Notamacropus eugenii: one gene and its partners. The protein of the gene in region 3 purifies or fractionates together with the protein of the main gene of each other region. This does not show direct contact. Links are inferred from orthologs where the notes say so. Each region holds a gene or a part of one and is shown on either strand. Other genes may lie near its edges.

Region 1 (6,975 bases), on a different chromosome or scaffold from region 3:
GACTGTAGAAACACAAGTCCCAGAAGGCAAGGAAAGGCCTATGCAGGGCAGCAGATACTGGGGCCTCAGAAAACCAGGCCCTACCTGCCTGCCTCTAGTGGTCTTTCTCCCCTCTCCCTCTTGCTCGACTGGAGGCCCTGGGCACTGACTGCCTGGAGCTGGGAGCACAACAGGGATGGGCTAATATTCACTGACCAAGTGGCAGGAAACCCTGGCCCCATGAGTCAGGGATTTACTCAGAGAGCAGACCTTCTCTCTGGGTTTCAAGGACCCTGAAAGTGCAAAGTGTGTGTTGGGGGAGAGACAGGAGGGTGGAGGGTGGCGGGTGGCCAATCAAAAGCACCATGGCCTATCCCACAACCAGTCCCTCTTTCGCTCCATCGCAGGTAGCTGCCCAGCATCTGGGTCCAAGACAGGCCCAAAGTCCCCTTCGGGGAAACACCTGCCTGGGGCCACACTCGTGGAGGGCAGGGATCTCCTTATTTTGGGAATAGAGAGGGATGCTCCGAGTCCTGGGTGAACCCCAATGCCAGTGCTAAGGGTACCTTCTATCCCTGTGCCATCAACCCAGGACAAACTAGGGAGCCCAGACGTAAGGAAAGTGGCAGAGGTCTGTACCTCAGGGTAAAGTGGGTGGGCCCAGCGGCCAGGTGGGCAGGCAGGGAGACACCCGGGAGGCTCAGACTTCAGGGAAACCCTTTATTGTCTTCACAAGGTCAAACCAAGTCAGCGGGGTTGGGCGCCTGGTGTGGTCAGGGCCACCAGTGCCAGCAGGAGGGCACGCTCCCTTCCGCTGGTTACCACCCCATGACGCCTTCCCCAACCACACCGGAGGGCGTGGGGGGATGGGGCGGCCGGCCAAGCTGCCCCGGGCAGGTCTTCCATGCGGGGTGGCGAGCTCCGGGGCACCAAGGGCGCTGGGTAGGCTGCAGGGCCGCGCTCAGGGCTCCTCGCTCTCCTCCTCCGCCGGCCCCTTCAGCCGCAGGTGCTCCCTGCTCCTCTTCTTGCTGCCGTGGAAGCCCACGGCCCCGGCGGGGCCCGCCCCGTCCTCCCGCATGTCGGCCTCCTGGGGCTCCGCCGGCGTCCTCGGGGGCTCCTCGCCGTCGCCCTCGCCGTCGGGGCCCCCGCCCGAGCCCAGGTGGCCCAGCGCCACCAGCTCCTCCCCGGGCTCCCTCCACTGCGGCCGCTTGCGCTCGCCGGCCTTGGCCGGCTTGGTGAACACGATCCTGCCGGCCCCGCGGCTCGAGGGGTCCTGGTTGAAGGAGGGGGCGCAGCTTTCTGGGGGCGCGGAGCTCTGGCCGCCTGCCCTCCTCTTCAGGTCCCCCAGGAGCTCGAGGGCCACGGCGCGGTTGCTGCGGTCGCTGCCCTCGGGGACGTCCTCCAGGCTGTACTTGGTCCAGCGCTCAGGATGGGTCACGTAGTCGGGGACCGGGCTGGGGCCGGGCCTGGCAGGCCCGGGGCGGGGCAGGGGCCGCTTGAAAGGGTCGGGGTCGGCCTCCGCGGGGGTCCCGGGGGCGGGGGCCCGAGCCGCCCCCTCCAGGCCCTCAAATATGCTGCGGCTGCGCAGCGAGAAGGTGGGGCTCATGCCCCGCAGGTGGAAGGGGCGCACGGGGCCCTCGGGGGCCTGCGGGGGCTCGGCGGGGGGCTCGTCGTCCTCCGAGGCCGCTGCCTCCTCCAGGCACGGCGGCTCCCCCGGGGACAGCCCGGCCTCCTGCCCGTCCCAGTCCGAGTCCGAGTCGCTGAGCGAGCCCGTGTCCGAGGTGACTTCGCAGTCGGGTGGCCCTGGCCAGGCATCGCCCCCGCCTCTGTCCGCCATGGCCCGGCTCCACGGGGGCTGGCGCCTGGCCTCAATGTCCCCAGGCCGTAGTGCGGGGGCCGGGGAGGCCGGGGGGTCAGAGTCTGCGCAGACGGGGAAACTGAGGCTGGGAACGGAAGCCCCAAGCAGGGTCAGTCATGGGGGAGGGGCAGAAACTGGGACTCGGGGTCACTGCTCCCAGCCCCACCTCTCACAGAGGGGGACGCCGAGGCGGGGCTGCGCCGACCTGGGCCCAAACCCCGAGACCTGCCTCGGGTAGAGCGAAGCTCCCCGGAACGGTAGTCACCATCTTGGGCCTCGAAGATGAGACGGCCCCGCCTCCCGCCCGCACGGCTTTCTGGGAAGCCGAGTCCCCGCACTCCATCGTGGCAGGAGGCTAGGCCAAAAGAAAACGACAACCCCCACAATGCAACGCGATGACGTCACAGTCAGGGGACCGAGCGCGCCGAAGAAAACCTCTGCACGTGACCTTCTGAGAATGAGGCCGGGATCTCGCGCCTGCGCCGTGGCCTCCCGGAAGGCCTGTCCTCGCGCGGTTTTTCGGATAACTGCTTTTCGGCGTGGGTTGAAGGGGGAGGGGGTGGGATGAGCGGAGGACGCTCACAATGCCTCGCGGGGCAGGGCGGTGAGGGGCGTGGCGACGCTGCCTGGGTGGAGGCGTGTAACAGCGTCGCCTGCCGGAGCCTCCCAGCGCCGCACGCCCTAGTGGTGCGGGGCCCCGGAAGGCATATATATGGCGGGGGGGAGGGAGGTTCCGCCCTCCCCACTTCCCTTCCTCCCTCCTCCCTGGAGAAGCCACCCCACCTAGTGCGGGGCTGAGTGACTCCTGATGCTCTTGTTTTCAAATGAGGAAACTGAGGTCTGGGGGGAGGGTGGGGACTGGGGGGAGTCTGGGAGCCCACCCGGATGTTTCGCCTTTGCGAGTGACGTCACCCGTCGTCTGAGCGTCGGGAGGGGAGCCGGCGAGAGCACACACCCTGCGACGCAGCCAGGCTTGGGAGGGGGCAGCCCCCACCCCCGCCCCAGGGCTGCGCGGAGGAGCGAGGAAGGGTGGGGACCCATGTCCCGCCTTGCTCATGGGGCATTCGAGGCCCCATCCCCCTACAGGAGCCCTTGCCCCCGGTGGCTGAGTCCTTGTTTATTCAATTTGCTGCCTTTCGTGCCAACCCCGTCACACAGTAGGCATCTCGGGAACGCGCGCAGCTCGGCCCCCTCCCCCTCCCCTGTCTGGCCGGGCGGGGCTGGGAGAGCGGGGGGAGGAGGCGGGACTTGCCGAGGCTCCCCTCTCCCCATTGGCTGGAGGGCCGCTCCTCGCTACATTGTTGCCTCGTCTTTCCTGCCCAGACGCCGCCGCCGGGTGGGGGCCTGCGTAGCCTGGAGGAGCCTGGGGGGATGGGCGGGAAGAGGCGTCCTTTCCCGGGGTGCTGAAAGAGGGGCCCCGGGACCGGTTTCCGCTCTAGTACTTCCATCGTCCAGTACCTACTGCGTGCCAGCCCTAGACCCCGGGAGCGGCCCACAGACCACCCTGGCTCCCATCCTGGGCCCCCTCTCCAGCTCCAGGCGGCCCGGCCTGGGGCTCCCTGCCCAAGCTGGCCCTGGCATTCAAAGCCTTCCCAACCCCTTTCGGGCCTCGCTCTAGTGCCCGAGGGCCCCCTCCCGCCTCTGGGGGCCCTGTCTGGAGGAGTTTGCCCCCGGGCGCTCGTGTTTAGGGGTACGTGGGTGGCCCCCGCTGGCAAAGCTGCCCTCCGTGCCTCGGCTTCCACCTCTGTAAGATGGGGGTCCTGGACCCCAAGGCCCTTTCTGGCCGAGCCTGGGGTTGTCTTGGCAGAGACGCTGGAGGGGTTCGCCATAGGCCGGGAGGGTCACCCGGCTAGGACAGGTCTGGGGTCAGCTTTGACGGCCCTCCTGACGCTGGCGCCCCGAGCTGCCCGGGGAGGCCGGACTCCAGGAGCCCAGGAAGGGGCTTCAGCCCTCCGCGGTCACTGCGTCCTGTGGGAGGTGGCCGCAGGGCCGGTCAGAGGAAGGCCGGCCGGGCCGAGCCCCCCAAAAAAGAGCCGCAGATTCACGGATCAGAGCACTTGCTTTATTGGATACATGGATTGAAAAGGGGCCGCGTGGGGCAGACAGGCAAACGGACAAGGGGGGACCCTCAGGCCATGCTGTCCCCCCGAGGCCCTGAGCGAAGCAGGGAGGGGGTGGGGCTCCCAGGCTGGGGCAGAGGCAGCAGAGACTGCCTGAGAGGTGTGAGAGGCGCTCCTTCCTGCCAACGAGAGGCATGCGGTTCTGTCGGTCAGTGCCCTCCCAGCCCCGTCTTTGGGGCCACCTGGGGATGGCAGGGGAGGGTTCTGGGGGCCAGGGTTGGGGTACAGGGCCAGCACTGAACTAACCGGGGGGCACTTCCTCCTGGGGGCAGGAGGCTGGAGGGATTTATCTCCCTCTTCGTGCAGGTAGCCCAGGACACCCCCCAGCCTCACGGCAGTTGGGATGGTGCCCACCTCCTGCCATGCTGCTCTGTGCAGGCCGGCGGTCCATCCTAGAGCCTGGGCTCCAGACCTGGGCAGATGCCCAGGAGACAGGGAGATGGTGGTTAAACCCAGGTGTCAAAGGCCTCTCCTTCCACACGTCACATGAGACACCTCCTGGCCCAGCCAGGCTCCCTTCTATGGGAATGCCCCACAGGATGCCCAGCTGCCCACAGAACATAAACACGGAACTCCAAGGCCTGACTGCTGCCTCTAGGCCAAATAACAAGTCCTGGAAAGACATGAAGCCTGGGCCCAGAACATACTCGAGTACATGCAACATCTATGTAAGCACACATACGTGCATGGCCAGTGCACTATGGAAGAGACAGGCCCCAGGAGCTCTGCCCCCTCCCCCCAACATAGGGCATTCTGGGTAGTGTTCCTTTAAGGCTTTCTAAGGTTCAATCACCCACTTCCCATTGCCCACTCTGGGGGGGCCTCCCCTCTGAACAGCCCAGGACCATGGGGGAAGTCCCAGGCAGGAGAGCCGGGTGCTGGTGAAGTGGACCGAGCCTTGTGGCCAAAGATGGTCTTCTATGTCCACAGGCCAAGGTGGCCATTGGCAGTGTTGACTGCCAGGAGGGTGAGAGACAGCTCCCCTCAGCCCAGGCCACTCTGGGGAGGGCAGGAGAGCCAGCTGGCCCAGGCCTCTCTCAGCCTCCACAGGACAGGTCAATTTTCCTCAGAACTGAAGGCCCCCTCCGGAACCCCCTGCCCAGCCCCAGGGGGTCTCCTGCCAAGCAGGGCTCACAGGGAAGGGTCCACACCAGTCTGGATGTTCTTTCCTTTTTATTGAAGTGAGCTGGTTTGGGCCTGTCTTGGACAGCCAAGTTATGGTCTAAGGGGCCAAAGTCAGACATACAAGGCCAGAAAGTGTGAGAACGTCAGAAATGCTCGAGAAAAGTAGATGCAGGAGAAAAGAATGCAGATTGGTTAAAAAAAAAAAAAAGGCTGCAGCTGCAGGAGGGAGGGTGCCTCCCAAGGCTCTCTCCTTCCCCACTCAGAAGGCAGGACCAGCAGGGCCTCCTCCCCTGCCCTACCTCCATGCCCGGGAGGGCCCCACTGAGCCGTGGCCTCAGCCCAGGAGACCCCCTCCAAGGCCCTGGCTACACAAGACCTAGGTGTAGCCAGAGGCACAGAAATGAGTCTGGTAACTTTATTTCAAAAATAAAAACATCCCCTCCCCCACCCCCATGCCCCAACCCTCCAAAGTAAAAATGCTAATAAGTACTGCACGGTAATATCTGAGACATTTCTATACATAATTCTCTGGATTTCTCTCAGACGTCTCCTGGTCACTCGACGACAGTTGCGGGGCTCCTCTCCTGCCTGCCCACACCTCAGAACAGCCCCAGGGGCGGTCCTCAGTACACGGAGCTATTCCGAATACCGCAACACAGGACCATGCTGAGAATCATCTCAAAAATCTGCAGGGAAAGGGGGAGCGCGTTAAAGATGGGGCTACGTCCTCCCCATCTCTCCTTATCCAGGCTAACTGCTCCTCATGCGACACAGGGCCTACCCTGGTCACCCCTCCTCCAGACTCCCTACAGCTTAGCAAATGCGGCCCCCAGAAATGATCACTGTCCTCTGGGTGAGATCTGACTGGGGCCAAGCATAGGGGAACAATCACCTCCCTCCCTCGTCCTGCTCTCAAGGCAGCCCCAGATCAAATTAGCGTTTGTGGAGCTTGTGGCCCATTCAGACCCCCCAGATCTCTTTCTGGACAACAGCTGCCTAACTGCCCCATAGCTTTTTGGTCCTTAATGCCAGACTTTGTATCCATCCTAGGCTGCCCAGCTCATTGCTAGCACTTCTCCTCTCCCCCACCCCCAGATTGGTGTCATCTGTTCCTGTCCATGTCATGGATTCAATTAGAGAAAGCAAAGGCCCTTGGGGACTGCCATCGACTTGGGATTCCACCATCAATGAACAATCATCCAGCTTATCTACAAGTGCTGCCCTGCCAGCCTCTGGAGCAGGGCCTGCCCATGGAGCAGGGCCTCAGGGTGAGCCACCCTTTGGGCTCCCTTCCCGCTCACCATGATGACTGCTACCACGATGGCAGCGATGCCAATCAGATACAGCTTTCCTGAGAAGAGCTCATCTATCTTCTGGTGACAGTTTGCCTGCAGAGAAGAGCCCCCGTGACCAGCATGAACATCACCTGCCCATCCCCACCCCTCCCAGAGTTCCAGGCACTGCCCACCATCTGCTCATCCTTCAGAGGTGGGCCAAGAGAATCGGGCCAAGCACATGGCAGACAGAAAGCACGGACACGAGGGAAAGTCAGATTTAGAGACAGCGCTGTGGGGAGACCCCCACACCCACAGGCAGGACAGAGAGGAGGCATGGTCAATGCTCCACACAGCCCACCCTGAGATCCCCAAGCACAGACCTTGGCCAGCACTGGCCCAACCAGGCCGGCTCATACCTGGCTCCCTACACAGGCAGCCAGCATCTCCATCTGCCCTCGGCCTGGCCTTACCTTAAAGGGCATGGTGAGAACGTTGCTTCCACTAGGGCACAGCTCGCTTCTGGCGGCAGCCGTGATTAAGGAGGTTAGCGTATCAGAGCCGCAGCAGCCCAGCTGTAAGAGAAGACAGAAGTGAATTCAGACACGAGGCCTGGGGC
Region 2 (8,146 bases), about 61 Mb from region 3:
CTTTGAGCAAGAAAGGGTAGGAGACAGAGAAAGGAAAATAATTCTGAAGCCTTCTAGAAGCTGCAAACATTTCTCTTGGTTCAGCTAGGAAAGAGGATTTAGAACCCACAATAAAAACCTTATCTGCTCATACTGTAAAAAAAATAAAAACTTACATGTCAGCATCTTCATCCCTTCGGTTGGTTTCTGCTGAAAATGATGTTCCTAAGTTGAGGTCCTCCTCTTCATTAATCCTAAATGGAGACAGAGTTATGGTATCTTTAATATTTCCTTGGAAAACAATGTACTAAATTCATTAAAAAAAAACAACACATAAAATAGTTATTCTTTCACAGCTTCTGTTTTCCCCAGTCTCTCTGAGGATGCAAGTGAGTTTTCCTACTACTGTGGACAATCAAAATTGAGTGTAGTAACAGGGAGAGAAAATGTTCTCAATGGTTTCTAAAAATGTTTTCTACCAACCTGTCCTTGTTTCTCTCCTTAAGTTTCTTCATGTCCACCATTCCACCAGTCTTGATCTTAAATGGATCATCCTACCAAATAAGAAAGATAATGATGATAATGAAAAAGCAAATATGGTTTATAAATTAGGTGGGGGAAAAAGATAATTTGTCATTCATGTTTTTATCACCCAGAGTTCAATTATCAAACAGTTATTAAGCACTTACTATGTATTAGGAACAGTATTGGGTGCTAGACCCTAACACTCAGGATCCTGAATAGGTGAGGTATCAATAAATGCTGGCTGATGTAGGATAGATAACCTTTCTGAAGGACAACCTATTTCAGTTCTGCTCATCATACAACTGTGCTTTACTGAACTATATCACACTATTTTACTGAACTAAATCACTTTTAACTTGGTAACCTTTCAGGGTCATCCTTCCTAGCCAAATATTACAGCATTCACCAGAGATGTCCACAAAACTCACCACTAGAGTTGTCTCTTCTTGTACTTTCTCTCCAACCAGGAGGGCTACGGCACTGAATAGAAAAAATGGTGGGTACAACTCAAAGATAGGAAAAGGTAAAGCAATCAGTTCAGAAATTCATTATTCAGGCTGACAAGTAAAACTCATATGAATAATGGGGGCCAAAAAGGCATGTCATGAAAGATCACATCTTTAAAAAAAACCCAACCAGACTAAAACGGATGCCAACTCTCAACTTTACAGATATGTTCTTCGTTCTTAGAGCTAGCTAGATTTAGAACTAGATTTAGTCCAGAACTCTATCTCTCTCTCCACCTCCCCCCACCTCAGGTCAAAAATGTAGGGAGAGCCAGCACTTGAACCCAGGTCTTGTGATTCCAAATCCAGTCCTCTGTGTACTGCTTCCATTCTGCATGATCTTTCCAAATATCACTGACAGTGCCTCAAGACTTCTGCCAGTTCCTTCAGTTCCCAAGGATATAAACTATGCGGTCATGGTGACTTGAATTCATCAAAGGTAACTCTTTAAATTTTTTCTATCCTGTTATTTTAAGTGCAAAGGTCATTCTCCTTAGCAGAGAAAAATGAAGCAAAATAAACACTAAACATCTCTATTTTTTACTCTGCATACTCCTCATTTTGAACTATTGACAAGCATCTGGAAAAAGCAAGGGAAGTCAGGTAGGCGATGGAATGCCCTGGTATACAGTTTAACATAGAATATGGGCTATTTCAAGTAGTTATGCATTTGTCACAGTATTACACAAAGGGGATCCAGGACATACTTTTTTCTTCTCTTCTGACTGTGGTCCCCAATCCAAGGTGGCTAAACCTACCTCACCCCATTAGGCCGTCTCCTCAAGCTCTGAACTTCTTTGGTTTCCTCAAGCTTCAACCTGAATATAACACAGAGAAATAATTAAGCAGTCCAAACATCAAAATAAAACGGGGTCTGGTTATTGAGAGTTCCATCCACTGGCGCTGAGGCTCTGTCCCCAAAAGGGACACTGTATTTCCAACTACTGGACAGGTTCAGAAAGTCTGACAGATTTCCTCATCTGCTGGGGGACAACAGTCCCTGAGTGTAGCAGTTTTTGACCATCCAATGCGTGTACATGTGTTCATAGGAGAGGATTGGGGGAGTTTAAAAAAGGTCAAGAATTAATTTTTTTTTTAGAGTGACAAATTAGGTTTCAGCATATCTCCTACCTATTCTCTTTCATTCTCCCCATTCCCCTCCCTTCTTTCCTAGATTTAATACAGTCCTGTTTTCTCTCGGAAGAGAGAAGTTTTGTAAATCTTCTGTCTAGTATGAGGCAGAGCATAACACACATATAAGTCAACGCAGGTAAGAAGAAGAAGGTTTCTACTGCCCAGCTCACAGGGTAGTTACGGGAATCACAAGACATTATGTGTTACATAAACGTCAGATGTGACACAAGTAACACTCTGAAGGAACGAATGAATTGTCATTGGAAGAGAACACACGAAATATACATTCAACAGTTGCCAGTTAAGACAACAGCATTCCAACAAAGGCAAAACCAGTGCCTGTCCTCCGAGAGCTCCCATTCTGCTACGGGGGCAGGAGGGCAGCATCTTGGTCGCGGGGAACCCCCGCAGCTCTCGCATCGTTTTGGGGGTGCTCGCTCCCCCCGGGGGGCGGAGAAGATAAAAGCCGGGCAGTACGAGATCAATCCCGCAGGCTCGGGGTTAGGGTCAAGGCCGGCTGCCCTCCCGTTCGGACCTCGTCCTCCCACACCAGGGGCTCGGCCGATCCCGGAGGGATGTCATTGGGTCGGGGCTTCTCCGCACAGCAGTCCAGCCGCCCCCTGCCCCGCTCCCCACTCACCGGACCTCCTCACTGTCTTGCTCGTCTGACTCCGACTCCGAGTCGACGCGGCGCTTGCGGAAGGCCTTGCCGGCCCGCATGGTGCCCCGAGCCCGGGTTTCCACCAGGGACTGCCGCGGGGTGCCCCCGATGGGGCGCCTTGGCCCCGGAGCTGCGCAGCTGCTCAGGGCTGCTTCCGGCGCAGGCCAGTGCGGTCAGCGCTGCGTGCGGCCGCGGCGGCGGCGGGCCCGCCTCCGGCTCCAAGGGCCCGCGCGGGGCGCTGCCCATAGGGCCGCGTGCTCGGAGCCCGCCCCGCCCCGGCCGGCCCCGCCCCTCCCCCGTGCCGCCGCCGCCGCCCGAGCCGCGGGGATGGGGAGCGGGCAGCCGTGCCGGCGGCCACTCGGGAGCCCAGCCCGCCGAGGTGAGTGTGGGCGCGCGGGGCGAGGGCCGGCCGTTATCCTTCCGAGCCGCGGGGGCGGGGAGGGAGGCGGCGATCTTCTGCGGGGGACGCTCCCCCCGCCTCCCTCCCCTTAATTCCTCTCCCCTCTCATGGCACTCCCCTTTCCTCCTCTCTCATTGCACTCTCCTCTCTTCCCCCTCCCCCGCTTTCTTTTTCCTCCCTTCCCCTTTCATCCTCCTCTCCTCTCCCCTCCCAAAGCCCAAAGCTTGAGCGGTGGTCGAAGTTGTGCCAGCATTCCAGCTCAGCCCCTCGAAGGTGCCTTCCAGCGAGACAGGAGTTCGGCAGGTACACCAGGTGTACCAGTGTCTCTTCTGAATTTCACTAATTATCTAATTCAGACTGTAGAAAGTTGGCCTTTTAAAAAATGAATGAGTTAGCCTAAAATAATACTTTTAAAAGTAGATTGTATTTGGGGACTTAAGAAACATTGTCACAGCCCTAAGGTGAATTTTTTAAAGGAAAACGTTTACAACTTTCCCTCCTCTTGTTATTTTTTGAAAACTAAACACCACTAACGGCCGCATCAGGCCCCAGGCCTCTGTCATCCCTAGCCAGTCCAGAAGGGAGCCTCCTATATTTTTAGTTGACATTACTGTGGTAGCCTAATGATCACTGGATTCTGGAGGGAGAAGATTCTGTACTTGATTTTAATATTTACTTGCAAGTGACATTAGCTAAGTTCCTTATTGATTCTATAATTTGCTTTGTTGTAGGTAAATGAAAGAGAATAAAACTTCCTCTCTTACACAGGTTCTGTGACGATTAAGTTCACCTTTTAAAAATGTGTTTCCAGAAGTCTAAGGCTTTATGTTAGTATATAGTAATTGTTTCCTTTTTTTTAACCATAGGAGAGGTCATTTCTTTTAGTAGTTCAGATCTTCCACTAGCAAGTTATCCCAATTTTAATGGAGTCACAGTCCTCATTTACCCTCCCTAGATATGCTTTTCAGTTGCTTATAATGTATACACCAATGCTGATTGGTTTTTTGTCATACCTTTGAACTGCCAGTGTTGGCTGGTGTCTGGGAAATGGATTGGTTTTTTCCTTTGGAAGGGTAAAGCTTGACCTGCCCTGGGCGTATTACAGTATATCATACCAAGCCTGAAAGGTAGATGGCACCAGGTAGTTCCACGTAGGTGTCTTTAAATACAACTGTATTTGTAGGCATCAAGGACTGGAAATCTTGTCTCACAACCATTGTTTTGGTCATTGCTTAGCTAAGTACCCCTCCAAAGATTCTGAACTTATACTCTGGCTGTGACCTAGGCCCCTGTGCACTAACTATACCCTTCTAGGAAGAATTGAGTGGATAACCTGCATCATAAGCTATGACTGAATGAAAGATTGGCACCTTTGGTTTAGTTAGCACAAATTAGAAGACCTGGGTTTGAATTCTGACTGCCACTTTTTTGCTTTGTGATCTTAAATCACTTAAAGCTGATGTTTCTGTTTCCTCATCTGTAAAATGGGACTGATAACTGTATTTATTACCTACCTCACAGGGATTTTGTGAGAATTGAATAAGGCCATGGCTGTAGACAATGGATATAAAAGCATTTTATAAACCACCAAGTGTTACTTTAATTTCAACTTTTGTTACTATGAATTTAGATTTAATAAATGTTTTTTAGATTGAGTGGTGAGAATATTTTGATCTTTTTGTTTTGTTTTAGGAGGAATGTTTAGTTCTGGTTTGAACTGGTTTGCTAGCTATTTGCTTAAAAAAAAACCTTTAGTTTAGGTTTGAGATCAGTAAAATTAATATTTGTGTTAGGCAATTAGTATTTGTGGTTCAGCAAATTGGTACCATTTGTTCTAATTCCTAGTTTGATTGGTGGTGCAGTGGAAAGATCACCAGATCTGGGTTCTGCCACTAACTTTCAGTGTGACTGTGGGCATGCCACTGTCCTACTCTAGCCCTCAGTTTTCCCAAGATGAACAGGTTAGACTAGATTATGTATCATCATCAGCTTTCCAGCTCTAAAAAACCACACATCTAAGTCCCCGTTTAAAAGTCACTTAATTCACACTTCTCTATAGAAGAGGTATCTGACACCACACACAGGCAGCATGTGTGCAGCCCCCAACATTCCCCAAAACATTGGAACAAGATGAAAATGTAATTGGAAAATATTTAATAAGACAATGAGATGTGGTTTCCTAAGTCAGTATATGGCCTCCAACGATCCTGATATTTGGTTTAATGATCTGGTTTCTGTTTGAGTTTGACACCACTGCTCTAGTATATGTATGATAATTAAGCTAGCATTGATATAGCTCTTTAAAGTTTGCAAAGTACTTTACATATATTTTACTTTATCCTCACAACAGCCTTGGGAAGTAGCTGCCATTATTATCCCCATTTTATAAATGAGGAAACTTGAGGCAGATAGGTTAAGTGACTTGCCCTGGGTCAAACAGCCAGAAAATGGCCAAAATAGAACTCCAGTCCTCCTGATTTCAGTCTAGAGCTTTATCCCCTGCACCACTTAGTTGTCTAGGAATGCCTCCTGTGTGTGTTGTTTTTTAACCAGGCCTTGTTGATTTCTCCTACCCCTATCCAGTCCTCCACAATGTATGAAAACCCTGTCTTATCAAATCACTGTTTCTTGTGCAGGACAGTAATGTCAGGTGCTATAAGGTTTTATAAGTACTAGTTATGGTCCCTACTCTCAAGAAGCTTACATTTAGTTGAGGAGTCTAGATCATTACAAGTGAAATCATTCAATTAACTAGTATTTATTGAGTGCCAACTGTGTGCTAATCATAATCACTGAAGATGGAACAAGGACTGATCTGTACCTCCAATGACCTTACATGTTAGGGATCTAAGGGGTAGAAATAACAGCTACAATATTAACAGACGTTTGTTTATTATACTGCTTTACGAAGCACTTTCATTACAATAACTCATAACTAATGCAAATTAAAACATCCCCTGCCTTTCTTAGATTGTTGTTTGTCTCTTTTTGTTCCAGGCATCTTTGACAGTGCCTTGAAGCAATAGATATTTGATAAGTGTTTGCTGAATGGTGTGTAAAAATATAAATATTCATGTTGAGTGTAACAGTAAAAATATTTAAATACTAGTTCAAAACAACACAGGATGCCATAAGGTCGTAACTGATTGTGCAGCCAATTATATAGCCAATAAATGCCACTGGGAGCCAGCCATCACTGAGAACTGGGCTGGGCTGTCCTTGAAGGAGGCTTGGAGGAGATGGGGCTAGAGCCAGGTCTGGAAGCTTAGGCAAGAAAGGAGTCTTGCTTGCTTTTTCTCTTGTGGTCCTGTGCGACTACCCCAGCTCCCCCTGGATTTCTAAGGCTTATGTGCCCCGTCAACACCTCCACCCTCTCCCCGCAAAAAAGGCTATATATACCGCCTAATAGAATGCAAGTTCCTTAAGGACACAGACTGTGTCTTTTGGGGTAGAGGGGCAGTCTTTGTCTCCCACACGACTCGGAGGTAATGGGTGCAAGTTTCCTCCTACAGAACACTGAGTTATTGACAGCTGACACTGGTTTGCTCTCAAGGAGATGGCAGTCCATAGGAGAAAGGACAGGACAGATGTTTGGTGATAAAGGCGATGGTGCTTTTTCTTTTTTAAAAAAAGGTTTTACTGATTCTCTTTCAAAAAACAAAAGTCACTGTCACTTTACAGTGATCCCACCCACCCACCGCACAGTCTTCTCTAACAAGTAAAACCTGCGTGCAAAACACATCTTTCCGCCCCCCACCCCCCACCCCGCTCCCCCCACGTTGGCCGGGTCTAAAGAATTCTTGGTACGGCTCCTGTAGGCCCCCATCTCCGCAGGCAGGCTGAGCACGGTCCCCTTCCCAGGAGGCTATAACCGGGGCACTGGGGGAGAGGGCCTCCCCAGTGAGCCCCAGGAGACCCCGCCTCCTGGGCTCCGAGCTGGGACGCCTGCGGGCCCCGCCTCCACCTGGGCCTAGGAGCGGCTTGGCTTCCCCAGCCCACGCCCCGGGCTCGTTCGCTCGTGGCCTCTCTCTCCGGGTGGGAGGCCCTTCCCCGGCGCCCCCTGCCCCTGCTCGGTGCGCGGACCAGCCCGGCGCGGCCCCCTCCTGCCCCAGCCCTCCTCTCTACCTGTCCCCCCGCCCCCTTCCCTCCCTCTCTGCCCGCGAGTCCGCTCCCCCACCCCGGGCGTAGTCCCGGACCCCCGGCCTCGGCAGGAAGGCGGGAGGAGACCCCAGGCCCTGGGGTGCCGAAGCCGCAGCCCGAGCCCGAGAGAGGAGAGGCGGAGACCGAGGAGGGCGAGGACCCGAGGAGGGGGCCGGTGAGCGGTCAGGGGCCCGGTTCTGCCGTTGGGGAGCCTGGGGGCCTGGCCCCGGAGTTTAGCCCACCCGAGCTTAAGGAATTGACTGGAGATGGGCGGGGGAAGGTTCGAGGGAGAGGGGGAATGAAAGGATGGGGGAGGGAGAACCAGACCCACCAACTAAGAGGGGAGAGTTGGGTAGAGGGCGAAGGTTAAGAGAGGGAAAGTGGGAGGACTCGGGGAGAGTTAAAGGGGGATGGGACAGGGCTAAGAGAGAAAAGGGAGAACGGGGGAGGGTGGCGAAGGTGAGGCCAGCTTAGAGAGGTCCGGGAGTGAGACTAGGGGAGGAGCAGGAGAGGGTTCAAGGAAAGGGGGCTTGTGGATAGATCGAGGCCGGTCAGGGACCTCTCCCCCGCCTCCACCAGATAAGGAGGAGAAGTTTGGTCAGTAAAACCTCGGAGGAAATTTTGAGGTGGGGGGTGATGAAGGTTAATAGGAACCAGCATCTTTTGAAGACAGAATTAAGGGAATAAAAGGGAGTCAAACAAGGCATGGTGGGGGGAAGCGAGGGGGAATGGTTTAGAAGGAAGCCTGCAGTTGTGTTGGAAAGGGGATGGAGTGCATTGGTAACTCAGAAGAATTAGAAG
Region 3 (7,669 bases):
GCTCACCAAGAAGGAAAGGAAGGAGGTATATATTTGGAAATGAAGGTGATGTAAAAACAAATGATATCAATATATATTTTAACTCTGCATTTATGAAAAGTTGTCCCTTGCTGTAACCTCAGCATCTGTCTACCTTGCATGTTTACTTACTTACTTCCTAGTTTCAGCTCTGACTCCAAAAGAAAAATTTATACACGTATTTTTATTTATTTAAGTATTTTAAGTATACCCATAGCAACAGTATTGGTCTCTACACAAAATGCTTCAAACAGCTACTAACCATGTTTCTCTCCCAATAAGGGGCAGGAAACCTTCCAGAAGCAACATCCCTTTTCTCATGCTCACCCCCTTCTCCCACTGCTGAGCTCCTTCCAGGGTCTCCATTTTGGGGAAGGGTCCAGGCTGATCAAACTGTGCTTCAGACTCTCTGGACTGCCACCATCCCTCATGTCCCTCCACTCCATTTTCACATCTCTTTTTATGTGCTATCTTCCCCCCATAGAATGTAAGCTCCTTGAAGGCAGGTGTTTGAATTTGTATCCCAGCTCATAGCACAGTGTCTGACACCCTATATTAGCCCTTAACAAATGCTTATTACCTGTGTGCAGTAACTGAGCAAGTTTGTCCTGGTACCCCATTAAAAAAACCCTGATTTGACTATTTCCAGTTCCTTCTTATATCTCCCAGACCTGCTAGTCTGTTTGCATGTGCCTAGGGATATTATACCTTTTAATTCCCACTCATCCTTGCTATAGATTTGGAAGGACCTTCATAAATTCTCTTTCTTCAAAAGAAGCAACTGGGGGAGAAAAAAATACTGTAGAGTTGTGGGGTAAGGGAGGGGAATGAAACAAGAGCAACTTCAATGCCAACTTAACAGTTCTGAGAAATGGAGCCTGAAGTGCAGGGCTCTAAAGGGAAATTATCTTAACTTAATTTCTAAGTTCTCACAATTCTTAGGGGCAATGCATGTATCTGATTTATGACTCACAGGACTCAGAATTTTTTGAGTCAAATGGTATATTAGAAATAACTAATTTTACACCCTTATTCACAGATGGGGACACCAATGCTCAGAGTAGACTTGCTTGAGATCACATAGTGAGCAGGTGGCAGAACTAACCCCAGTGCTCAAGCATCCTGACCCATAATCCAGTGCTTTATACGCTGTAATTACCCAGGGACTGGACAGATGTTGGAGACATGGGGAAGCATTTCAGGAACTGCAGGAAAAATCACAGGGGAATGAGAACTACAGGATGTGCTAGGGGATATAGAGCAATGGAATAAACTATTCCTCAAAGAGAGCAACAGGAGGCCAATGGGGGAAATGACGATGAGCCATCAGGGTGAGCAGATGTGTTAAATGCTGCAACTCCACCAGCTACCTTTGTAATAAACAAACACTGTTAAATCGTAATGCTTAGCAACTAAACTTGAGTGTTCTGTGGGTGACTGGCAGTGCTATCTCAGCTTCACAGGAGGACTGTAAAAATTTATTACACCTTGAAAAGTGCTTTGTAAGGCTTTGTGTAGCCAAAAAATCCTGCTGTACACTAATCAACTTTACAAGTGCAACATTCCACATGAATAAATTCTATAAACCTCAGAGAACTAATTCTTGGTTCACTGACTATGCAACCAGACTAGCACCCAAGAGAGCTCTGCACATCCTGTGACAGGACTCTAAAGTAAATTAAGGGAATAAAATTGTAAAAGGATTCAATAGTTCAAGAGGAATGTCCCTCATTTCATCTCCACCTCTGGACATCCTATGGTCATTCTAGGTCCAGCTCAAATTCTAGTTCCTCTGGGAACCTTTATCTAAGTTCTTTGGCTAGTGGCATGGCATGTAGAGTTCTAAGGGACCTTATAGGTCACATATTACAACTGTTTCACTTAGAAACTTGATCTCATAGTTCTTTGTACTCCGTATTCCATTTGTATTATATTTATCTGTATACTCTTAACTGTAGTATTGTATTGAGCTCCTTGAGAGATGAGGTTGGGTCTTACTTATCTTTTTATTTCCTACTGTGTTCTGTACATATACTTAACAATTTGTTAAATGTTGAAGAGGAAAGCTGAATAGAATTGCTGGATATGCTCTACAGTAGGAGACAGGAGACTGTCTTAGGCAAGTACTTTCTTCTCCCTGGGCATCAAGTCATGTGCAACATAAAGGAGAAGTTGGACTCTGTGCTAGATCCGACAATCTACAATTCCTTAAGAGGAGCTACCAAAGTGTTAGGATCTATCAAGGCCACTTCGTATAAGTTTTATTAGAGCTCCAGGAGCTCTAATAAAACTTATAATACTCATAATACATAAAACTCATAAAACTTAGGCTTCATTTGACTAAAACGGCAGGATGGTGAAGACTGGTCCAAGACCAGTGAGTGCTAAAGCCTGGGCTCTTGAGTCCAGTGACTCCAAATTTCGAGCTTTTCTCACGACCCCGCCTGGACTTTCGGCCACCTCTCTTACCTTCGGGACAAAAGGGAAGCAGTCATACCTACCCAGGACATCCTGGGGGTTGGCGGAGTACTGCCTGCTGATCACAGTCTCGAGGGCGTAGCTCAGGTCCATGCTGTGCTTGGTGATCTCGGCCGGGCTGGCGCCGTCGGGGTAGGTCTGCTTGGGCAGCGGGGTGAAGCGGATCTCGGTGCCGGCCCTCTGCTTCATCTGCGGCAGGCGGGCCAGGCCCTCGCGGTAGCTCCGGCACTCGGCGCCGCAGGCCGGCGGGCCGCGCTCGGCGCGGTCCTTGGTGTAGGTCAGGGGCTGCACGGGCAGCACCTCGGAGAAGGCGCAGATCTGCCCGCTCTCGGGCTGCAGCCGCCGCACAGCCTCCTCGCTCAGGCAGCTGCTCAGGGACACCCACTTCCTCAGCAGGTCGTGCGGGTAGGGCCCCAGGAAGCGATCCAGCTCCTGCAGGCTGGCCCGCACGGCCTCCAGCTGAGCCTCGGGCGCCGGGCTCAGGTCCAGCTCCTCGCGGGCCGCGTCCCAGCGGAGCAGGCGCAGCGCCCGCGGCCGCAGGCTCACGAAGAAGCCCGTGCGCGGGCCTGTCTCGCGGGTCCCCGAGGGGCTGCGGCCCGCCGCGCTGTAGTGCACCAGGTGGACGCCCGGGGGGATCATCTTGACGCCGCGGAAGCGCGGGCCCACCTGCCACGAGCTGCAGTCGATGCCGAACTCGGTGCCCTCGGGCACGCCCAGGGCCACCACCGTGGCGCCCTCGAAGAAGAGGCTCCGGGCCAGCTCCGGATCCATCGGGGACGCCCAGCCGCCCTTCGAGGCCCTCCTGACCCGAGCTCGGGACGCTGGGGCCCCGGAGGACTGAGGGCCGGCGGCCGAGGCGCCCCGAGGGATCGTTTCCCAGGCCCGGCTGACAGCTTCCCCTTAGCGGCCGCTCCCGCCGTGCGCCGGAAGTGCGGCCGCTTCCTCCCGGGATGGGGACGCGGGTGCAAGGGGAAAATGCTCCCTTCCCACCCGGGGGCGGTGAGAGAGGGGTTCCTACATCCTTGGGTTCCGCCTGCCACCCCTGGTGTCCCCATAGAGTGCCTGACGCTCTAGACCTCGGAGTCCTAGAGGAGCACCTAGCACAGTGCCTGGAACGTAGTAAGCGCTTACTACGTGTTTATCGACCGACAACTCTTCTGATCAATACAAGGATCCGAAACAATTCCGAAGGACTTAGATGAAAAATGCTGCCCACCTCCAGAGGGAAGGAACGGATGGTGTCCGAGTGCAGCCTGAAACATAATGTTTTCCCTTTCGTCATCTTTCTTGCCTTTTTCTCTCGTTTTCTTCGCGATATGGCTAATACGGAAATGTTTTGCCTGACCTCACATGTTTAATTGGTTCATCACATTTCTTGTCTTCTCATGGGGAGGCTGAAGACTGAGAGAATTCAAAACTCAATTTTTTACGTAAATTACATATCTATCTATCTATCTATCTATCTGTCTGTCTGTCTGTCTGTCTGTCTGTCTGTCTGTCTATCTATGGGTTTGCTCCAGGTCCTGCCCCACCCAGGCAGCCAGTCACCAAGCCTCACACTCACAGATGTTCACAGCTGGAAGGCATCACCTGCCACCAGGATCTGCGCAGCCATCCCTTCTACAGGGTCGACCATCGGTGGCCCTCTTTCTTTCACTCGAAGACCTTAGTGACAGGGAATCCACTCCCTCACAAGGCATCTCAATCCACTTTTAGAAAATTTAGATTTTTAAGAAGATTTTTCTTGAGGTGGATCTACAATCTACCTTTCTAATTCCCACCAACTGTTCCTAGTTTTGCTTTTTTTAGGGCCAAGAAGAACAAGGTTAGTCTCTCTTCCAGGAGAACCCTCCTTGCTGCCATGGACCTGGATCTTCTCTTTCCCCAATCCAGACACCTGAGGGACTTCCACCTGAGAGTCCCTATCTGGAAGAGGTGCCCTGTAACACTCTTAACTGGAACCTTGGGCTGATTTAACCTAATTGGTACTCATCCTGTCCCATGGAGAGAATATTTCTACCATCTTCCACACTTGGATGATCTCATTCATGTAGGAACTTCCAAGGATACAAATCACCACCCATAAACACCCTATCATTCTCTGTGATTATTGACCACATCCTTCCATAAATCATCTACAGGATCTCCATTGGACCATTCAGTGTACTCGGATGGTGGAATGGAATGGAATGGAATGAAATAAGCATTTCTAAAGTACCTGCTATGTGCCAGGCACGGTGGCAAGCATTTTACAAATACCTCGTTTAATTCTCACAACAACTCTTCGAGGTAGGTGGGGGAAGGGTGTTTCTCTAGTTCTCTCAACCTTACATGTATGTCAGCAAGAGGACTATCTATTGGTTATGCCTCCCTCTTTCAGTATGACCTGCCCACCTTCCTTTTCAGTAGACCACAGTATATCTGATGGCATCCTTTTTTTCTGCTTTTCTTGCTTGGTTAGTTGTAAATTACACACGCACGCACGCGCGTGCGCGCGCAAAACATTTTGCAAACCACCATGCATTCTATAAATGTCAACAATTATTATTAGTGTGTCATAGCTTACTCATGCTGATCATATGCCTCTCCACTGCCTGTCCTCTAATCCCCAAAAGGAATACAGCAAATGATTAAGATAATTAGTATTAGTGACTCTATTTTGCTTTTATGTACCATTTTATGAAGTTAATATTTCAAATCCACGTAAGTCACCTGATTTAGGTTTCACGCCTGACTTAAAGAATGTCACAAGAATACCCCTCTTCCTCTCATCTCAGTGTCTTCCGATCCTCTCCCCCATCCCAAATTCCACCAAGGAGAAACCAGATGTCTCAATCCCTATAATCCTGTGTTTTTCCAGTTTTTTCTACTCCTTCTAAATTATATATTAACTGTGAGAAACAAAGCTTCTGGGTTCTTAGTTACCGTGAGTCTTGGACCCGGTTTGTTTTGCAACCACATGCATTGCCAATACATCATTGCCCAGAGGCAATTATTCAGTTCCTTTATTCCTCCATAACAGATGGGAGTGGGGAATGGGACAACAAAAGGAGGGGACGGTTGCTATCTCCATTCAACAGCTTTTCTCTAGTCTTGCTATTGAATTATTGTGTGGACCACAGAGAGTAATCTCACCATAGCTCCACTGAAGTCCTTTGCAGTCTTGCTAAATGGAACTCCTGGGGTGATCTGCAGGCTCTCATGGGTAAGATAAGAATGAAAATTACTTTTCTGATCATAACACAAATTAGAATTTACACTGAAAGTCTGAAGTATAGCTGTGGAGTTAAGTTCAAAAGACCAATTTAAATGCCCAAGTGCATCTGAAATCACAAAAGAGGTTCCCTGCCACTGGGAAAGAAGTTGTACAGGAGCTAAAGACCAGCAGAGAGCAGCATTGCAGAGAAAACAAATCTCAGGACAAGATTCCAGCTCAGCAAAGAATCAGGAACACTATATTAGGGAACAAGCATCTACATCAAAAACAGGGCTCGAAGTCCTTCTCTCTTCCCTAACTCCTATCCTCATATCAGGGAACTTCAATATATGTGTTGATACCTTCTCAGATACTCTAGCTTTCTAGTTTCTCAACTACACAAAGAGATAGTCACACCTTTGACCTTGCCCATAACCCATTACCCATAACACTTCCATGTTCATAAGCTCTGAAAATCCTTTATTTCACAATCTATTTTCCTTTCACCTTCCCCACTTTTTATAACCCTTAATCTTATCTTCATCTTCATTATGACCTCCATTCTCTCTATCCCTCAGTTCTTTCCCAGGTCATCATACCTACACTGGCTATACTTTTCTCCCTTTCCTATCTTGAACTCTTAATGAACCAATTTAACTCCATACTATCCTCCAGTCTCCTTTACTTACACCTTGCTTTTTAAGAAGATCAGGAAGGACTTGCTGAGATCTTTTCAGGGCTGCTCATCCACCTTTGGTGCATACCTTTCACCCAGTTCTCACCTGTGGCTCCAAAAAGCTATAGCATGAATAGTGGCCACACGCCAGTGTGGCAGACAGGCTAAACCAGGTTGAGGGTAACTCGGTGAGTTGGGGAGGTGTCTACACCAAGCATGGCAGAATGGGTAGATGAGAACAATTTGTTACAAAAACCTTGAAGGCAACTAAAACAGGGGCTGTGGGGGCCTTAAAACTTGGTCAGACATCAAAGACACCAAGGTCATCCACTACATCCCAGGCCATTGTCAACTGTCTTGACTTTTGTCCTGCTACTGGACTTTGATGACTCTTGAAGAGAGGGTGAAGCTGACAAAATTGTGCAACTTTTCCTCACTTAAATCCAGTTCATTCAAGAGTCAAGACATCACACTATGATGTCATTTGTCCTCTGTGAAAACAAAACATGAACAGCAATACCGTCCTCTACCCTCAATTCCCTTGACTCCTTGTCCTACTGACAATCATGACTTGCCAAGCCCAAACCCTGGACTACTGCCACTATCTGCCTCCTTTGCTCCTATCCACATGCTGTTGCACAGAGCTAGAGGAAATCACAAAATTGCTAACTATGCTACAAATTTAGGTTACATAATCTCAAATGGGCCCTCACTACAGCAAGACATTCTATTCCTAATTGATTTGCTGCCCCACTCTCCACAATAGCTATTCCAAACATTCTCATTTTTCCTTAAGTCTCCCATGACACCCTAACCCCCACTATCTCAGATGAAGAGTTCCCTTCATATTTCATTGAGTAAAATGAAGCTACTCCAGCACTCCCCCTTTTCCCTTCCTCTTCATCTCATTTCAATCAGATATCTTCCCTGCTTATCTCTTCATTCTAGTGTACAATAAAGAGGTGGCCCTCCTTCAAAGGCAACCTTCCATATGCAGTCTTGATACTGTCTTCTGCCATCTTCTCTAGCAGATTGCTTCTACTTTTACCCTTACTTTTTCCCTTATACTGAATCTCTCCATATCTATTGGCTCCTTCACTGCTACTTACAAACATGTCCAAGTCTCCATCCTTGAAAACTTTTACCTTATTCTACCATCCCCACTAGTGATAGTCCTTTATCTTGTCATCTCAAATTAAACTCCTTGAGAAAGCTACCTACGCTGCACCTCCCGTCTTCTTACTCTATTTGAAACCTTCTGTAATCCGACTTCTAACCTCTAGCCATTCAACAGCATTCTA
Region 4 (7,990 bases), about 100 Mb from region 3:
ATTAGCACTTTCAATCAAGTTATTTTTCTCTTCGTTCTCTTTGTTGAGGTTTCCCCAAGCAGCCCCGTAAAACTGAAAAGAGATGTTAAGGCAAATGAGATGAATTTTCTTATAAGAAATTAAATGTCAAAATTCTCTTCTACAAAATTTTGTCCATAATTAAATCAATTATTAGGGGATATTTAATCAGTATATGGATTATCCAGGTTCTTTGCTTCTGTCTCCTAGAGTATAGAATCTTGAGTCTCTAAATTTTGGTGGGGAGTGCTGGGACAACAGAAGTGAAACTTGAAATTTCTGATACGTTTATTTTTATTTCTCTTTTACATTTATTTATATAGGGATTCAGTTTTCAAAGTTACTTCTACGAACATATTTAATTTTATCAATGTAAGCTACTCAATGAAAGCTCCTTGAGGGGCTGGGACTGTTTCATTTTTGTCTTTGTATACCAAATACCCAACATAACATACATGGTAAACACTTAATTGCTTGTTAATTGAGTCTCATAAGGACCCAGTAAGGTAGAAAGTACAGCCAACATCATCTCTCTTTTACAGAGTAGTGCGTTAGATCCAGATGGGGGTAAGGACAAGTGAGGGTGAACACAATGTGTATGTTAGTAATGTAATTGGTACCTTTAAACCCAGATCATCTGGTTCTAAGTCTGGTATAATTTCTATTCTACAAATCTGTCTCTTAAAAAAAAATATCTTGTTTTTAATATCTTTTATATTTATACCAGCCAAATGGCACAGTGATAAGAGTACTGGACTTAAAGTCAGGAAGATCTGAGATCAAATTCTGCCTCATACATTTAATTAGCTATGTGATACTGGATAAGTCACTTAACTTCTCTCAGCCTCAGTTTCCTCATCTGTAAAACAGGGATAATAATAGCACCTATACCCCACGACTGTTGTGAGGATTGAGCAAGACAAAATATGTAAAAATGTTTTGCAAACCTTAAAGCACTAAATAAATGCTAGTTTATACACCCATACACATACAAACATATAATGTTCTTTTAGTCTTACAAAGTTGTTAAAAGAAATGGGGAAAGTAGCTCATCAAAATAGTTGTATCCATTGGTTCTGAAAAATGTGTAACATTCCACGTTCTCTCATCTACGGTCTCCCATCTTTTAACCATATTGCCCTTACATAAAAGTCTGATTGAATTTTTGGATGCTATGAGACTTGAAAGGTTATTTATAAGTTTCATTCAACTAGGGTCAACTAGTTTCCTTCATCTCAGCTTACTGACACCGCCGTTACCCTGGTAATCAAAGGCCACATGAGGGTGCAAGGTAGCACAACAGATAGGGCCCTTGGCCTGGAGTCAGTAAGTTTACTTCAAATCTAGACTCAGACACTTACTAAGGCGTGTGAGCCTGGGCAAGTGAGTTAACCTGTTTGCTTCAGTTTTCTCAACTGCAAAACGAGGATAACAACAGCACATACCTTGTAGGGTTTTGGTGGGGATCAAATGAGACAATATTTGTGAGGTGCTTACCAAAGTGCCTGGCACATAGTAGAAGCTATATAAATACTCATTCCCCCCAATCATGTCATGTCTGAGCAAAAGTCACAAGTCTCTCCCCACTACACTCCATCCTCGACTCAGCTGACAAACATATTTTTCTAAAACACAAACCTGTCCATGTTACCATGCTACCCATTCCCTATCCCTTCTCCCACCCCCATCCCACTTTCAATCAACTCCAATGGACCCCAATCACCTTTAAATATAAAATCCTCTGTTTAGCACTCAAAGTCCTTTATAACCTGGCCCCTTTTACCTTTCCAGTCCCCACCACATATTTCACTATTCAATAACACCAGCCTCCTTGATGTTCCACTCACAAGGTACTCCATTTCCCAATTCTGTGCATTTTCATTGGCTATCCCCTATGCCGGTATTCTCTTTCTTCATCTCTGCCTCCTGGCTTTCTTCAAGTCCCAGCTAAAATCCTACCCTGTGCAAGAAGACTTTTATAAAACCTGGAAAGCCTTAGCATGAACTGATTCTAAGTGAAATGAGCTGAACTTGGACAACATTGTGAACAGTAGCAGCAATACTGTGTGCTCATAAACTATGTTAAACTTGGCTCTTCTTAGCAATTCAGTGATCCAAGAGAATTCCAAAAGACTCAAGATGGAAAATGCTATCCACATTCAGAGAAAGAAGTGATGGAATCTGAATGTAGACTGAAGCACACTATTTTCACTTGTGTGTGTGTGTGTGTGTGTGTGTGTGTTTTCCTTTTGCTCTGTTTCTTCTTTCATAACGTGACATATTGAATACGTTTAAAATGCATAATTTATATCGGATAGCTTGTCATCTTGCGGTGGGGGGAGAAGAAGGAGGAAAAACTGGAACTCAAAATCCCATTAAAAATGAATGTTTAAAACTATTGGAAATTGGACAAAATAAAATGCTATTTACATTAAAACATAAAAATAAGACTTTTCTAATCCTTCTTCACAATAGAGCCTTCCTTCTAAGATTATCATCAATTTATGCTGCATATAGCTTGTTTGTACAACGTTGTTGCATTCTTATTAGACCATGAGCAGCAAGCTTGGCTCCCAACTATCCCCCGGCTTTTTCTTAAATTCTGAGCCCAGGAGGCCCCTCCCACTTGTGTGGATGGTTTCAAAGGCTGTTCCTCAGGAAGCACCCCCAAGATCCCATGGGCTCGGCATACTCCTGGCCTCTGCCTGAACACTTCCAGAACAACGGAGCTCACTCTCCCTCCCGAGGCCCCATTTCTTTCTTGAACGGCTGGAACCGTCATAGTTTCCTGACATCAAGCCTGCATCTGCCTTTGTGCTTTGTCCCGGGGCCACTCTGCGAACAGAGACAGACGCTGGAAAGCCCAGCTCCGACGACTGAAGAAGTCGGGGACGTCTTGTCCACCCAGAGCGGGCCCCGCGCCTGGCCTACCTGCTCAAAGCTGGTTCCTCGTCACTGGGCTCTTCAACTACATACGGGTCATCATTTTCAGAAAGCCAGCTCATGATGAGCGGGACCCACGGCCCAGCACAGCCCTTCTGAACGAATCCACGGAGTCACCAGATTGGAGTGGTACTTTCAAAGGGAAGCAGCGAGATGCACTTCCGCTTCCTTGCTACTGCGCCTGCGCTGATAGGTCCCTGGAAGGAACGCCAGGAACAGGGAGGGAGAGGCGGGGCTTGGCTAGGCAGGGCGGGGAGGGGAGGTGGCAAATAGTGGAGCGTCAGGGTCTTGCTACAGTAGCTGCAGAGTTACAGCTGCAGCCCTTGAAGAGGGCTGTTTTTATTTTCTTTAATATTTCATATTTTTCCATTATGTGTAAAAACGATTTTTAACATTCGGTTTTTTAATTCCAGATTCTTTCCCTCCTTCTCTCCCACCTTCTTTGAGAAAGCAAAAAAATTTTGTATATCCTTTAATATTCAGTTCGGGTATCAATTTTGAATTTGTTGTGCAAGATGGTCTAAGGTGTTGCTCTTAGCCTACTTTCTTTCCACCAGATTGAGTTCTGGTTTTCCCAGCAGGTCTTATAAAATAGAGACTTCTTTCCTACAGAATTTATTTTTTTGGATTTGTTAAACATCAGTGAGTGCTACTGTTTCTGATTCTTCCTTGTCTAATCAACTAATCTGTTTTTAACCAATATTAAGTGTTTTTGATCCCTGCCGCTTTATAAGATAGCTTATATTCTCTTCTTCTTCTTCTTCTTCTTCTTCTTCTTCTTCTTCTTCTTCTTCTTCTTCTTCTTCTTCTTCTTCTTCTTCTTCTTCTTCTTTTTACAATCTTTTAATTTTGTTCTTATATTTCTTAGTGTCCCATGGAACCACTGATTTCTGTTTGGTCTGTTTCAGTTTCAGAAATATGTTTTTTCTTCAGTAAGATTTACCATTTTCTCTTCTAATCTAATTTTAAATTGCTAGGTTAATTTTTTATTTCTATTCATCTAGTCCCTCAATTTCTTTCTTCTTATTTTATTATTATACAAACATTTCTAGTACTGTGCTTAATAGTAGTGGATGATAGTAAAGATCCTCTCTGATGGAATATGAAGACTTCCAAACTTTAATATAAACATATGCGTGTGTATTATGTATACACACGCATATGTATATATACACACATACATGCACATATTCTCTTAGCTCTAGAAAGATACTCTAATTCTACAAAAACCACATAAATACTAATAAAAATGTAAGTATTCATCTATTCCTTTTACACTATCAGTCTTGTTGGAATGGAGTTGGGCAAAATAACTTCTGGTCATTTCCTTTATTTCCTTTTCATTTGTTATAAATTCTTCTTTTTTCATTTTTGATATAAATGATCTTGTTTTCCACTCTAAAAAAATCAGACTAGTGTCTAGGTTTTTCAAAATGTATTAATTCAATGAGTTCAATACTTGTTTTTTGTTTTTTATTTATTAATATCATCTTTAATTTCAAGAATTTCTATTTTTATGTGGAATTGAGAGGTTCTGATATGTTGCCTTTGTAGTTGTTTGTTTGTTCTTTAGTTGTGTTCCCAATTTACTGTTTTGTGTGACACAGCCTTTCCCCTAAGGGTTGTCTTATCTGAATCCCACAAGTTTTAATATGTTGGGTTGTTTTTTTTTCTTTGAAGAAATTTTCTATCTCCATGATTTGTTCTTTAACCTCTCAATTCTTTAGGATTGCATGATTTAGTTTCCAATTAATTTTAAAATATTTTTTCAAAGCTCCTATTTTGAATTTAATTTTATTATATTGTTGTGGGTAATACCAGAAAGGGAAGATTTCAGAGAATTTGGAATACTATGAAATAACATGGGGTGATATGAGCAGAACCAGGAGAACAATTAATACAAGAATAACATTTTTAAAAAAAATCAACTTAGAACTCTGATCAAGCAATGAGCAATCATGTCTCCAGAGGACCTACCCATTTCTTGACAGAGAAATCAATGGACACAATGCAGAAACATATACTTTTGGATGCATTACTCAGTGAATTCATTTTTCCTGACTATGATTGTTGCAAGGGCTTTTCCGGGGTAGAGGGCGGGAGAAGGGAGGAGGGGGGAGGATGGAGAGGAGGATTAACAATAGTTGATGCCCCAACGTTGGTGGAGACATTTTAAACTCAAGTCAAATTCATTATCTTTCCCCTTAAATCTTCTTTCCTATTTACCTTTCCTATTACTGAAGAGTACAACACTATCCTCCCAGTCCCTCAGGCTCACAACCTGGGAATTATCTTGGACTCCTCACTATTTCCCATTCCCCAAAGTCAATCGATTGCCAAGGTCTATTGGTTTCACCTTTGCCATATCTTTCAAATATACCCTATTCTCTCCTCTGATACAGCCACCATTCTACTGCAGACCCTCATTACCTCATGCCTAGAGTATTGCAATAACCTTCTAATGAGTGTACCTGACTCCAGTATATCTTGAATTCAGTCACTAACATGATTTTTCTGGGCATTAGGCAGGAAGCCTATGACCACTAGGGACACTGAGCACCATGGGATCCTTCTTGCACTGATATAACAGATAACCACTTTTTAATTTCATACTTAGAAGCCTGGCATCCCTTGAAGTTGGCTGAAATTCTCAACTGCAGAGAACTGATAACACCTTGAATATTGATATTTTTATGTGATCAAGAAGAGTTTTGAGGGGAATAAAGTATGCCTCTTTGAAAGCAGACATCTTAGAAGATCTAAAAATTCTTTTTTTTGTGTATGTAGCCTGAGGAAAGAGAAATTATGGAAGAATGGCACTTAATAACCATTGTGGTCCTCAATGGATGAGATGTCTGGTGGCTAGTCTCTGAATTCTTACTCAAGGTCTGGAAAACTTCCTATGTTTAGAATTTATAAAGAGCAAAGGCACTGATGAGAAATTACTTTAAATTACTTTTTTAAAAAATTAATTTACCAGTCAAGCAATGGTACTTCAATAGGACTGATAAAAATTACAGTACTGGGGACTATATTATCCACCTCTTACAGGTTACCACAGTCTTTTTTTTTTCGTAGTAAACATATTTCCACATTAGTCATGTTGTGAAAGAAGAATCATTACAAAAGGGAAAAACCACAAGAAAGAAAAAAAAGTCAGACAGTAGTATGCTTGGATCTGCTTTCAAATTCCACAATTCTTTCTCTGGATGTAGATAGCATTTTTCATTATGAATCTTTTATTCAGTCTTTTATGTGCCTATTTTGCAGAATGTGGCAAGTAAAATGAGTATTAACAATAAATTTATTAACTAGGCTAGTCAATAATCAATAAATTGATGGTCAGTGGTTTCTGTTAGGTAACCAAAGATGCCAAGGGACAGTACCACATCAGTCTGTCTTCCTGAGAGCAAATTACTGGAAACTCCCTTGCCTAGAGAAAAGAAACCCCTGATTGGTAGACATTTGATGAGGAAATGGACTAAGAGCTTCATGGTCAAGGGGGGAGGTCAGCTGAGGAATGAGACTAGGTCATGAGTTTTGAGACCCCTCTACTAAACAGAACTTAGAGTCCCAGTTGGGCTGGGGCCAGAACTACCTAGTTAATGAGCAGATACCTTGAGAAAACACTTAATACATTTCCTTAGCTAGAATTGTTCAGGGGCTTCTCTTTAAACTAGTAGAAGAGATGGCCTTTTGACAGAAGAGACGTTATTACAAATTTATATTAATAATCAAATGACAGAATTAAAATTAATTTTCCTCACTACACACATCATAGGGCTATGAGAGTTATCAACAGAAGTTAATTACATGTGTACAACAGTTTTTATTGTCATTTTAATGATTTACTTACCTTCAGTTGTACTATACTGTTTTCATTAAAAAAAAAACAACCTTCAACCAAACTTGTGAGAGCTTTTCCAGGCCTTCTATTTCTTTCAAGAGCACTTCCAGGCCTTCTTCTGATTGAGTATGGATATTTTCAGTATGATTCTGTGAATCTCAACTTTGCACTGTGTTCTTGGTCTGTCTTGTGACTAAGACATCCTAGGATCATTGGCATTTTGTTTAGCCATAAATCATAAGCAGATGGAACTTTACCATTCTTTGCCATTCTTTTGCTAGACAAATGCTTGAAGAAAGATTTGAAAGGAAAGGGGTTGTTACTGCTCATTAAACTGATTTTTACAGTGGTTATTTCCTTTGCTCTTTGGTGGTTACAGTACTTTACAGAAGTGGAAGAAACTGCAAGTTTGTGTATTCTTTGAGGATAACATTGCCAATATTTGGTGTGGTTTCAATGTTCTTCTGAAGGTAAAAGATCTGCTCTCACCTTGCACCCTGTTGATGGTCAGCTTTGCTTTTACATTCATGAGCCTTCTTCCTGCCTGTATAAAATTAACCCTTCAGCCAAGTCTCAGAAGCTTTGAATATACTTTGTTAGCTGTGCATTGTCATTTTTTCTTATTCTCTTTCCAAGTACAGGAAAAATTCATTCTTTTGGTCTCATTATGAGTTTGCTTAATTCTAAATCTTTTATGTCAATATGGATTTTACTTGTATCCGCTTTTAGCATGCTTCTTCTTTTTTTGAAAGAGGGGGTAGTGATAGCCCCAGTTATGACCACATTAGCATTTTTAGTAGCCTGTATAACTTTAAAAATTTGAAAATGTACTTGAAAAAGAACTGCACTTAAAATAATTCTCTATTTCTGTTCGGAGGCACATCCCTGATTTTAAGGTTCTTGCAAAAGTGGTGAAAAGTTATTTTCTAATCTCAGTAATGAGATAACTCTGATGAGCGTCACTGTGGGATCTGCACAGATGCTGCCAGCCATCTTTCCTGGACTGGTGTGTCTTGTTTCCTGTTTGCATCTTCCCCTTTTCTTGATGTATTTTTTCTTGTTGCTATCATTATCTAGGATTACAGAAAAGGGAGAAACCAGAAGAAAATGAGCCTGTTTTGTTCAGTCATGTCTGACTCTCCATGACCCCATTTGGGGTTTTCTTGGCAAAGATGCTGGAGT

What was found.
Region 1: the proteins of AAR2 (region 3) and TSSC4 purify together in Homo sapiens (affinity purification with mass spectrometry; 3 studies listed by BioGRID and IntAct, counting the BioPlex papers as one, with this or other methods). This does not show direct contact. The link is inferred for Notamacropus eugenii from reciprocal best matches to the Homo sapiens genes AAR2 and TSSC4.
Region 2: the proteins of AAR2 (region 3) and C1H9orf78 purify together in Homo sapiens (affinity purification with mass spectrometry; 3 studies listed by BioGRID and IntAct, with this or other methods). This does not show direct contact. The link is inferred for Notamacropus eugenii from reciprocal best matches to the Homo sapiens genes AAR2 and C9orf78.
Region 4: the proteins of AAR2 (region 3) and EAPP purify together in Homo sapiens (affinity purification with mass spectrometry; 4 studies listed by BioGRID and IntAct, counting the BioPlex papers as one, with this or other methods). This does not show direct contact. The link is inferred for Notamacropus eugenii from reciprocal best matches to the Homo sapiens genes AAR2 and EAPP.

What each region holds. Positions count from the first base shown.
Region 1 is NC_092873.1:25,467,510-25,474,484, forward strand, and holds TSSC4 (U5 small nuclear ribonucleoprotein TSSC4), read right to left. Parts: upstream 2,454-6,975; 5' UTR 1,817-2,453; coding exon 941-1,816; 3' UTR 686-940; downstream 1-685. Other genes in the region: CD81 antigen, read right to left, coding at 5,706-5,768, 6,384-6,470, 6,830-6,931. UniProt on the Homo sapiens protein: Protein associated with the U5 snRNP, during its maturation and its post-splicing recycling and which is required for spliceosomal tri-snRNP complex assembly in the nucleus.
Region 2 is NC_092872.1:481,405,906-481,414,051, forward strand, and holds the start of C1H9orf78 (splicing factor C9orf78 homolog), read right to left. Parts: upstream 3,073-8,146; 5' UTR 2,865-3,072; coding exon 2,785-2,864; intron 1,829-2,784; coding exon 1,769-1,828; intron 985-1,768; coding exon 933-984; intron 534-932; coding exon 463-533; intron 234-462; coding exon 156-233; intron 1-155. UniProt on the Homo sapiens protein: Plays a role in pre-mRNA splicing by promoting usage of the upstream 3'-splice site at alternative NAGNAG splice sites; these are sites featuring alternative acceptor motifs separated by only a few nucleotides. May also modulate exon inclusion events.
Region 3 is NC_092872.1:420,101,430-420,109,098, reverse strand, and holds the start of AAR2 (protein AAR2 homolog), read right to left. Parts: upstream 3,422-7,669; 5' UTR 3,268-3,421; coding exon 2,520-3,267; intron 1-2,519. UniProt on the Homo sapiens protein: Component of the U5 snRNP complex that is required for spliceosome assembly and for pre-mRNA splicing.
Region 4 is NC_092872.1:319,045,094-319,053,083, forward strand, and holds the start of EAPP (E2F-associated phosphoprotein), read right to left. Parts: upstream 3,204-7,990; 5' UTR 3,024-3,203; coding exon 2,950-3,023; intron 1-2,949. UniProt on the Homo sapiens protein: May play an important role in the fine-tuning of both major E2F1 activities, the regulation of the cell-cycle and the induction of apoptosis. Promotes S-phase entry, and inhibits p14(ARP) expression.